Linked DNA regions of Neurospora crassa OR74A. The protein of the gene in region 1 purifies or fractionates together with the protein of each later gene. This does not show direct contact. Links are inferred from orthologs where the notes say so. Each region holds a gene or a part of one and is shown in the gene's direction. Other genes may lie near its edges.

The links. Proteins that work in one complex are often made in the same cells at the same time.
Region 2: the proteins of NCU06994 (region 1) and NCU07832 purify together in Schizosaccharomyces pombe (affinity purification with mass spectrometry; 3 studies listed by BioGRID, with this or other methods). This does not show direct contact. The link is inferred for Neurospora crassa OR74A from reciprocal best matches to the Schizosaccharomyces pombe genes cdc5 and spp42.

Annotation. Positions count from the first base shown.
Region 1 is NC_026504.1:4,814,428-4,820,543, forward strand, and holds NCU06994 (pre-mRNA-splicing factor cef-1), read left to right. Parts: upstream 1-2,418; 5' UTR 2,419-2,581; coding exon 2,582-4,582; intron 4,583-4,649; coding exon 4,650-4,988; 3' UTR 4,989-5,240; downstream 5,241-6,116. Other genes in the region: NCU06993 (Ash2-trithorax family protein), read right to left, coding at 1-1,235, 1,313-1,767; NCU06995 (hypothetical protein), read right to left, coding at 5,701-5,754, 5,901-6,116. UniProt on the Schizosaccharomyces pombe protein: Involved in mRNA splicing and cell cycle control.
Region 2 is NC_026503.1:1,009,092-1,014,020, forward strand, and holds part of NCU07832 (pre-mRNA processing splicing factor 8), read left to right. Parts: coding exon 1-3,163; intron 3,164-3,240; coding exon 3,241-4,929.

The DNA of each region.
Region 1 (6,116 bases):
CTCCGCCCCCACCCGTCGCCAGCAACTTCTCGGCGTCCTTCGCCGTGAGGTTGAAACGGTCAATCACCTTGCCACCGTCCTGGGCCCAGAAGCCAACTTCATCGATAATGTCGTAGACGATATCTTCGACTATTTGCTCCTCGTAGCGACCCGACACCGGCCGCAGGGGTTCTTGATTCGGCACACTTCCGTCGTCAAGCATGTCCACGTCGTCCTCATCGCCTACCCCGTTCTGCTGCTTCTGGGGAAGACCAGACCCAGGTGGTGGGAACCAGAAGTCTGGGCCAAAGTTCACCTCGACGGCGCCACCGCGGAAAACACTTACGGCTGGGTAGTATCCGACAGTTCCGTCGTCGAGAGCTTCTCTGCCGGCATGTGCCCCTGACTGAGTACTTTGTTTTGATGCGGGTGGTAGGAAGGCGAAGAGGTCAGTCCAAGGCGTGCCCATGTCCTTTCCATTTTTGTAAATCTTGATGTACGAGTTCGGCAGCGTCCGTAGCGACGGCAATGGGTGATTTGGGTTCGGCGGTTCCGGCGAGTTTGAGCTTGCCGATGCTACCGGCGCGGGACTGAACAAGTCTTCCAGCTCCTTGGTTGTGTGGTAGTCAATCTTCTCAAAGTAAATGTGTTGTTTGAACCGAATGGGGATCCGGTCCCGGATGATGTTGGGTGCCTCGAGCGATGGTTCGTCGTCTGCCAAGTCGACCGCAGGGTTATAATGCCCCGTTACAATCTTCCTGTGTAAATGTTCCGAAGGCAGCTGGATCTCCAGCCCGATCACATCTCCTTCTTTGATCTCCTCGCCAGGCGGGAAGAAGTCTTTCGGCCGTGACATGTGCACCTTTTGTCCAGCCACGTCTCGAATACCATAACTGTAGCAATCGAACCCGACGGGGGCGTCGAGAGAAGCCTCACGCCGCGCCCAGCCCACGCGAACGTGCCCATGCGCCTTGGTATCACCTTCGGAACCTGGCTCGCGCAGGGTGCCTCGAGTGACCTTGCACTCCCAATACCACCTGCCCTCTCGCACGGCCACGTTGGCTCGTGACATACGGAAGCCCTTGTCGGTGGTGACATGACGACCCTGTCGGTCAAAGTATACGTGGGAGGCAGAGTCCTCGAAGGCCATGTGGGCAGCGTACGGCTCGGTCTCGGTCTGGCGATAGTAGAACATGGAAGGAAACGTTGGGTCGGCTATACAGTGAGTGTAATGGAACGCTCGCTTGTTGAAGACACTGTAGGAAAAAGGCAAATCAGAATATGCTCCGCATGAATGGAGAATGGCGAAGGAGCAAATATAGATAAGACATACTGTTCGGTTGCATCAAAGAATTCGATGGTCTCGCCCTCGGGCCCTTGAACCTCATGATGGCTGGTGAAGACGGGACCGCGCGCGGGCTCGAAATCAGTAAGTTTGGGCGGAGCGAGCTTATAGCGCGCGGGGAGCAATTCGTTGATCAAGGGCTCTTTGTGTTGCTGCTTCGGGTCTGGAGTTGCTCTAGAACTATCGGAACCGCCTGCTGCTGCCTTGGCCTCCCTCTTCTTGAAGGAGTCCTTCTTTGTTCTCTTTTCGCGGTTTAGAACGGCTGCTTGCTGGGTGTCTTCGGGTGCCTGTATTTGGACTCTTGGAGCGGCCTTGTTATCTGGGTTTAGGGGTGATGGAACTGCTGGACTGTGGTCGTCTTCGAGCGTGCGCTTCTGAGGGATCGTCGTGGCAGCTCCGGAAGGTGTTTGCTCCCTTCGGGGAGAGCCTACGTCGCTGGCCATATGTAGCTCGGCAGACGTCGTGCTAGCAGTAACGTTGACAAATATTTAACTAAGTGATTAGTTTTGCTTTCGCAAGCTGTCCTTGTCCTGAAGTCGACTTGTGTTTGGACTCGAACGGCGAGCACTCCAAGTCCAAAGTAGGTACCGACGGGAGCTCTTCTGATCGACGACAGCTTATGGATGCTAAGAATAATCTGAGAATTGCCCGATGGTGATCCTACGGGTAAATGCTTTGGTACTCGGAGAAGACGCGTACTTTTGGAGAGCGCAATTGGGTTAAAGAGTCCAGTTTCGGAGCGATTTGATGTTCTTTCTGGGGATTTCTGTAAAGAGTTGAGAAATGTAAGAGGAAAGAAAGACATGTGAACCAGAAATGGTGGATGGAAGCTTCATCCACTCGACCAACAGCAGCAGCGTGTCGCGACAAAAGGGCGGGGCATCCTTCTGTTAGTGGTTAACGGCAGGCAGGGGTCCCGGAGCTTGGCTCGCTTGTTAGTTACCACATGCATGGGACACAAAAATGCTAACAGCGCGGGAACCTGTTGCCTGCCGCAAAAAGGTCTTGAGGTTGGCTAGCGCTTGACAGTTGATACTGGGAAAGACGCCAAGGCAGTTGCGTCGCGGGTGATTCCATTGTTCGCCTTGACGCCAGCGCTTTGAATTTCTGGATTTCTTCCCCATCAACACAACAACATTTCAACACTTTCAATTCCAATTCCAAGACAACCCCAACCCCGAGTGTCCTCCCACCTACCGGAACGACTCCCGCATCACTACAACGCCCGACGAGTATCCATAACGGCCGAGCGACAAGATGCCCGTCGTCAAGGGAGGTGTGTGGACCAACATCGAGGATGAAATCCTCAAGGCGTCGGTCAGCAAGTACGGCCTGAACCAGTGGGCCCGCGTCTCGTCGCTGCTGGCCCGCAAGACGCCCAAGCAGTGCAAGGCAAGATGGAACGAATGGCTGGATCCCAGCATCAAGAAGATCGAATGGAGCAAGGAGGAGGATGAGAAGCTGCTGCACCTCGCCAAGCTGATGCCGACCCAATGGCGTACCATTGCCCCCATCGTTGGAAGAACCGCAAACCAGTGCCTGGAAAGATACCAAAGACTTCTCGACGAAGCTGAGCAGAGGGAGGCGTCCGCTCTTGGGCTGACGGGCCCTGATGGAGGCGAAGCTCACGCGCCCAGCGCCGACGATGTTCGCAAACTACGTCCTGGCGAGGTCGACCCCGATCCGGAGACGAAACCCGCCCGTCCCGACACCATCGATCTCGATGAAGATGAGAAAGAAATGTTGAGCGAGGCTCGCGCGCGTCTGGCCAACACACAGGGTAAAAAGGCCAAGCGAAAGGCCCGTGAGCGACAGCAGGAGGAGTCACGCCGACTGGCCGCTCTCCAGAAGCGTCGCGAGTTGAAGACAGCCGGTATCAACATCAAGGTTACGACAAAGAAGCAGGGCCAGATGGACTACAATGCCGATATTCCATTCGAAAAGAAGCCTGTTCCCGGATTCTATGACACCACCGAGGAGATGTCTCGCAACGAGTACCAGCGCGCCCATTTCGACCCCAAGAAGCAGCAGGTTGGGAACAAGCGCAAGGGTGAAGAGGACGAGAGAGACGGCAAGAGGAGAAAGGGCGACAAGGACCCATCTGTGCAAGCCGCCCTCAAGGCCGGTCAACTGCAGAAGATGCGCGAGGCAGAACAGAGCAGCAAGCGGAGGGCTTTGGTCCTGCCAGCACCTCAGGTCGGCGAAGGCGAGTTGGAGGAAATTGTGAAGATGGGCATGATTGGCGAACGGGCAAATATGCTGGCTCGCGAAAGCGACAACGACGCAACTCGTGGCCTGATCAACAACTACTCGACACTCAACACCAATGCGCCAATCCGAACACCGATGGCCCCCGCTCAGGAAGACCACATCGCAAACGAGATCCGCAACATCCGAGCACTAACAGAGACGCAATCCTCGCTGCTCGGTGGAGAGAACACACCTCTACACCAGGGGGTGGGCTCTACCGGCTTCGAGTCGGTTGCGCCGCGGAAGCAGGTCATGTCAACCCCTAACCCCTTAGCCACCCCTTTGCGGGCAGCTGGAGCTGGTCCTGGCGCCACGCCCCTCCGCGTCGGCCAAACACCACTGCGCACTCCCCGTGATACATTTGCTCTCAATGATGCCGGTGACGAAATGTCCATGGTGGGCGGCACACCCCGAGATGTTAAGATGCGCGAGATGTCTATTCGGCACCAGCTCAAGCAAGGCCTCGCGTCTCTTCCCAAGCCCAAAGAGACCGAGTGGGAGCTCGAGCTGCCGGACGATCAGCAAGAGCCCAAGACCGCTGAGCAGCTGGAGGAGGATGCTGCTGAACGTGATCGACGAGAAAGGGAGATCAGGGAGGCGCGAGAGCTGTTGGAGCGCAAGAGACGTACCCAGGTCATGCAGCGGGATCTGCCTCGGCCTGTCCAAGTCGATTATCAGTCACTCTTGAAGGAAGCCTCGCAGGCCGAGGACCCTGTCAAGGTTCTCATCGCTCGTGAAGCGGCCTTGCTCGTAGCTCATGATGCCACCAAGTATCCTCTACCGGGAGCTCAGCCAACTGGCCGGGCACTGGAGATCCAGAAAATCGACGACGCCGCGTTGCAAGAGGCCAAGCTTCAGGTTCTGATGGAAATCAAGGATAAACCAAAGCCGGAAGAAGTTCAAGCGGTGTGGGAAAAGAGCAACAGCAGCTCCCTTTTGCTTGGGCTGGGATGCTATGAGGACGATGAAGAAGAAGAGCAGATTTCCACTATGCAAATTGCGCTTGAGGTATGTACAACTAACCCCTTTTCTGCCTCCTGCCTTCCGAAGGCTTACTGGCTAACCTAACCTGCAGGAGGTCATTGACCAAATCGTCGCCTCGGCAGAGAAGGGCAACAAGCTCGAGAAGAAGCTCAACCTGCATCTTGGCGGTTACAAGAATCGGGCTGAAATGCTGCGGAAGAAGATCAGTGAGGCTCACGAGGCGTTGGAGAAGGCGAACAACGCTCTGGGCGCTTTCAAGGTCCTCCAGTCCTCGGAGCAGGCCGCTATTCGGAACCGGCTGGCGGCGCTGCGTGAGGAGGTGGGCTTTGTGAGCACGAGGGAGAGAGAGGCGCAGGAGTTATACAGGAGGACGAGGGAAGAGCTGGATGCTTTGACGCTCAACGGGCCGAAGGCCAATGGGTTCCGCTGAATGATGTGTTGGAAGAGTGTGGTCAGGTTGTGAATAATTGAGTGTTGGTTAAACTCTGGCATGGCATGGTATGTCTGGCAACTGTCTGTGGAATGGCCACTGACGTCGAGCAGCTCAAAATAAGAAGCATTGAACATTATTATGTACTTGGAGGACGTCTCTCGATGCACCGTGTGAATATGTATAGTACGATGACCAACCTCCCTCTCAATATCAGTGAATTCTTCTCCTACGAGATTCTCACAACCCAGGGGCTTGGTAAGCGGGAGCCAAGGTGAACGCCAAATGCGAGTCATATCATATACACTGCAAAAAGCTTACCGGGGAGCGACGAAGCTTGTCTTCACTGGCAATCAGTCTGTACCGAGCTGTTCATTCAATCTCTCCTATCTCTCTCTCTGCTCTGTGTCTTTTTCTTCCCTCCCTCTTCTGGGAATGCATCCCTCCCTCTCCCTCTCTCTACCCTACACAAAACCAGACCAAAACAAAACAAAACAAAACAAAACAAAGACGCTCGCAGTAAATTTCCCCCAAAGCTAAGCCAAAATATGAAAAAAATTTTGCCATCCATCCCTCCAACGCCTTGCCTATATCTATCCCCTCTCTATCCTCTATTCTATCCTCTATCCCGTCCGCCCGTCTACCCTCATGAGCTTCGTTTTGCCAATCGGTCGTCGTCATCCTCTTCACTCTTCACTCTTCCTGAGTCCCCTCACTTGACGCAGGCGGAGGAGGTCTCATCGTAACCACCACCACCAGCAAAACACTAGCCACCACCATCCCAGCCAAAAAACAAGCAAAAATCAAGCGGCGTAAGAAAAGGCTGCGCGAGCGATGATGATGATGATGATGGGGTGAAGAAGTGGTCCGAGATGATGGGTGGTGGTGACCTGCGTCTGCTGAGGAATAAACCAACACGTCGTCGGCTGCTATAAGGGGAGTAGTCTCATCAGGCTTGGGCATGATGAACTGGTGCTGGGAGAAGAGATCCACGGCAGCGGCGGAGGTGGCGGCGGCGACGGCGTCTTGATCTTGTTCATGTTGCCGTTGTGGTTGTCCTTCATGCCGGCTACCACTAATGGTTGACGCATCATCGTCCTCGTCATCCTCCTCGTCATCGCTATCATC
Region 2 (4,929 bases), on another chromosome or scaffold:
AACTTGCTGCGGACTTTGAAACAAACAAAGTTCTTCCAGCAGACAACGATCGATTGGGTTGAAGCCGGCTTGCAAGTCTGCCGACAGGGCTTTAACATGCTCAACCTGCTTATCCACCGCAAGAACCTCACATATCTCCATTTGGACTACAACTTCAACCTGAAGCCCGTCAAGACGCTGACAACCAAGGAGCGAAAGAAGTCTAGATTCGGAAATGCCTTCCATCTTATGCGTGAAATTCTGCGCTTGACCAAGCTCATTGTCGATGCCCAGGTACAGTACCGTCTTGGCAACATTGACGCCTTCCAGCTTGCCGATGGTATTCTGTATGCCTTCAACCATGTCGGACAGTTGACCGGTATGTATCGTTACAAGTACAAGTTGATGCACCAGATCCGTTCCTGCAAGGATCTCAAGCATCTCATCTACTATCGCTTCAACGCCGGCCCGGTTGGCAAGGGTCCAGGCTGCGGTTTCTGGGCGCCGGCATGGCGTGTGTGGCTCTTCTTCATGCGCGGTATCATTCCCCTTCTTGAAAGATGGCTTGGCAACCTCCTTTCCCGTCAGTTCGAAGGTCGCCACAGCAAGGGAGTTGCCAAGACCGTTACCAAGCAGCGTGTTGAATCTCACTTCGATCTCGAGCTTCGTGCTTCCGTCATGGCTGATCTGCTGGACATGATGCCGGAAGGTATCAAGCAGAGCAAGGTCAACACGGTTCTTCAACATCTTTCTGAGGCCTGGAGATGCTGGAAGAGTAACATTCCTTGGAAGGTTCCTGGACTTCCCGCAGCTATTGAGAACATCATTCTGCGTTACGTCAAGTCCAAGGCCGATTGGTGGATTTCGGTTGCTCATTACAACCGGGAGCGTATTCGTCGGGGTGCCACCGTCGATAAGACCGTTGCTAAGAAGAACGTTGGCCGCCTAACGCGTCTGTGGCTCAAGGCCGAGCAAGAACGCCAGCACAACCACATGAAGGATGGTCCCTACGTCTCTTCTGAGGAGGCTGTTGCCATTTACACTACTACGGTGCACTGGCTTGAATCGAGAAAATTCTCTCCCATCCCCTTCCCCAGTGTGTCTTACAAGCATGACACCAAGATCCTTATCTTGGCGCTGGAGCGCCTACGTGAGGCTTACTCGACCAAGGGAAGATTGAACCAGAGTCAGCGTGAGGAGTTGGCCTTGATTGAGCAGGCATATGACAGTCCAGGCACTACCCTCGAGCGTATCAAACGCTTCCTACTCACTCAAAGAGCTTTCAAGGAAGTCGGCATCGATATGAACGACAACTACAGCACCATCAACCCGGTCTATGATATTGAACCGATCGAGAAGATTAGCGATGCTTATCTCGACCAGTACTTGTGGTATCAAGCTGACCAGCGCCATCTGTTCCCCGCTTGGATTAAGCCTTCCGATTCGGAGGTGCCACCTTTGCTTGTGTACAAGTGGGCTCAAGGCATTAACAACCTCGACAGGGTTTGGGAGACCGCGAATGGCGAGTGCAATGTCATGATCGAGACGCAGCTCTCCAAGGTCTACGAGAAGATTGAGCTGACCTTGCTCAACTCGCTTCTTCGGTTGATAATGGACCACAACCTTGCGGACTACATCACGGCCAAGAATAACGTTACCCTAACTTACAAGGACATGAACCATGTCAACAGCTATGGTATGATTCGTGGCCTGCAGTTCTCAGCCTTCGTTTTCCAGTACTATGGTCTCATTCTCGATTTGCTGTTGCTTGGCCCGCAGCGTGCCAGCGAGATTGCCGGTCCTCCCCACGCACCCAATGACTTCCTTCAGTTCAAGGACCGGGAGACTGAAACAAGACACCCGATTAGGTTGTACACCAGGTACATCGACAAGATCTGGGTGTTCTTGAGGTTCACCGCGGATGAATCTCGCGACCTGATCCAGCGATTCTTGACAGAGCAGCCTGATCCCAACTTCGAGAACGTGATTGGTTACAAGAGCAAGAAGTGCTGGCCCAGAGATTCGCGTATGCGTCTCATGAGGCACGACGTCAACCTCGGCAGAGCTGTGTTCTGGGATCTCAAGAACCGCCTCCCAAGATCCGTGACGACGATTGAATGGGAAGACACCTTCGCCAGCGTGTACAGCAGGGATAACCCGAACCTCCTGTTCTCCATGTGCGGCTTCGAAGTGCGCATCTTGCCCAAGATCCGCAACCAGAACGATGAGTTCCCTGTGAAAGACAGTGTCTGGTCACTAGTGGACAACACGACCAAGGAACGCACCGCTCACGCTTTCCTACAAGTTACCGAAGAGGACATTCAGAAATTCAATAACAGGATCCGTCAGATTCTCATGTCGTCTGGCTCGACCACATTCACCAAGATTGCTAACAAGTGGAACACGGCGCTGATTGCCCTCTTTACTTACTACCGCGAGGCTGCTGTTTCGACCGTGAACCTGCTTGACACGATTGTCAAGTGTGAAACCAAAATCCAGACTCGTGTCAAAATTGGTCTCAACTCCAAGATGCCTTCCCGTTTCCCTCCTGCCGTTTTCTACACTCCCAAGGAGCTTGGTGGCTTGGGTATGATTTCCGGATCACACATCCTTATCCCTACTAGCGACAAGCGCTGGTCTAAACAGACAGATCTCGGAGTTACTCATTACCGTGCGGGCATGTCGCACGATGAGGAAACGCTGATCCCCAACATCTTCCGCTACATCATCCCGTGGGAAGCTGAGTTTATCGACTCCCAGCGTGTGTGGACGGAATACTCGCAGAAGCGTCTCGAGGCCAACCAGCAGAACCGCAGATTGACCCTAGAGGATCTGGAGGACAGCTGGGATCGCGGTCTGCCCCGTATAAACACTCTTTTTCAAAAGGACCGTAGCACGTTAAGCTTCGACAAGGGTTTCCGTGCCCGTTCCGAGTTCAAGATCTATCAGTTGATGAAGAGCAATCCCTTCTGGTGGACAAGCCAGAGGCATGACGGTAAACTTTGGAACCTTAACGCATACCGTACCGATGTCATCCAGGCGCTTGGTGGTGTCGAAACCATCTTGGAGCATACCTTGTTCAAGGCAACTGGTTTCCCGTCTTGGGAAGGTCTCTTCTGGGAGAAGGCCAGTGGTTTCGAGGAGTCGATGAAGTTCAAGAAGTTGACAAATGCCCAGAGGAGCGGTAAGTTCAACATACCATTTCTCTAGCATGAATTCATCATCATATGCACGCACAAATACTGACTTTGAAATACGCAGGTCTCAACCAGATTCCTAATCGTCGTTTCACGCTTTGGTGGTCGCCTACCATCAACAGAGCCAATGTCTACGTCGGTTTCCAAGTGCAGTTGGATCTAACTGGTATCTTCTTGCACGGCAAGATTCCTACTCTCAAGATCTCCCTGATCCAGATCTTCCGAGCTCATCTGTGGCAGAAGATCCACGAGTCAGTGGTCATGGATCTTTGCCAGGTCTTCGATCAGGAGCTTGAGGCTCTAAGCATCGAATCGGTTCAAAAGGAAACCATTCATCCCAGAAAATCTTACAAGATGAACAGCTCCTGCGCGGATATCCAGCTCTTTGCCAGCCACAAATGGAACGTTACTCGCCCATCGCTCCTTTTCGATACCAAGGATGTCATCGAGTCTACTACGACGAACAAGTTTTGGATTGATGTTCAGCTTCGCTATGGTGACTACGACTCTCACGATATTGAGAGATACGTCAGGGCCAAGTATCTGGACTACACCACCGACAGCATGAGTCTTTACCCATCTCCTACCGGTCTCATGATTGGCATCGATCTGGCTTACAACTTGTACTCTGCCTACGGTCAATACTTCCCAGGCTTGAAGCTCTTGATCCAGCAGGCTATGGGCAAGATCATGAAGGCAAACCCTGCGCTCTACGTTCTTCGTGAGCGTATCCGCAAGGGTCTGCAGCTCTACGCCTCCGAGAGCAACCAGGAGTTCCTGAATTCGCAGAACTACTCGGAGCTGTTCAGCAACCAGACTCAGCTCTTTATCGATGATACTAACGTCTACCGTGTTACCATCCACAAGACCTTCGAAGGTAACTTGACGACCAAGCCGATCAACGGTGCCATCTTCATCTTCAACCCGCGTACCGGTCAGTTGTTCTTGAAGATTATCCACACCAGCGTTTGGGCGGGTCAGAAGCGTTTGGGACAGTTGGCCAAGTGGAAGACTGCCGAAGAAGTCGCAGCCCTTATCAGATCGCTACCCGTCGAAGAGCAGCCAAAGCAACTGATCGTCACCAGAAAGGGTCTGTTGGATCCTTTGGAAGTCAATTTGCTTGATTTCCCCAACATCTCCATCCGCGCGTCCGAGTTGCAGCTTCCCTTCCAGGCCGCCATGAAGGTCGAAAAACTGGGTGACATGATCTTGCGTGCCACCGAGCCGCAGATGGTCTTGTTCAATCTCTACGACGAGTGGCTGAAGAGCATCTCTTCCTACACTGCCTTCTCCCGTCTCATTCTCATCCTGCGTGCCCTGCACGTTAACCAGGATAAGACGAAGCTCATCTTGCGCCCCGACAAGACCGTCATCACGCAGGATCATCACATCTGGCCCTCGCTCTCCGATGAAGACTGGATCAAGGTTGAAACGCAGCTCCGCGATCTTATCCTCAACGACTACGGCAAGAAGAACAATGTCAATGTGTCCAGTTTAACTAGCAGTGAAGTCCGTGATATCATTCTTGGTATGGAGATCTCAGCCCCCTCGCTGCAGAGGCAGCAGGCGGCGGAGATTGAGAAGCAGCAGCAAGAGCAGCAGCAGCTCACCGCCGTCACTACCAAGACGCAGAACGTGCACGGCGAGGAGATCATTGTGACGACCACTTCGCAGTTCGAACAGCAGACGTTCGCCTCCAAGACCGAGTGGCGCACCAGAGCCATCGCCACCTCGAACCTACGCACCAGGGCTA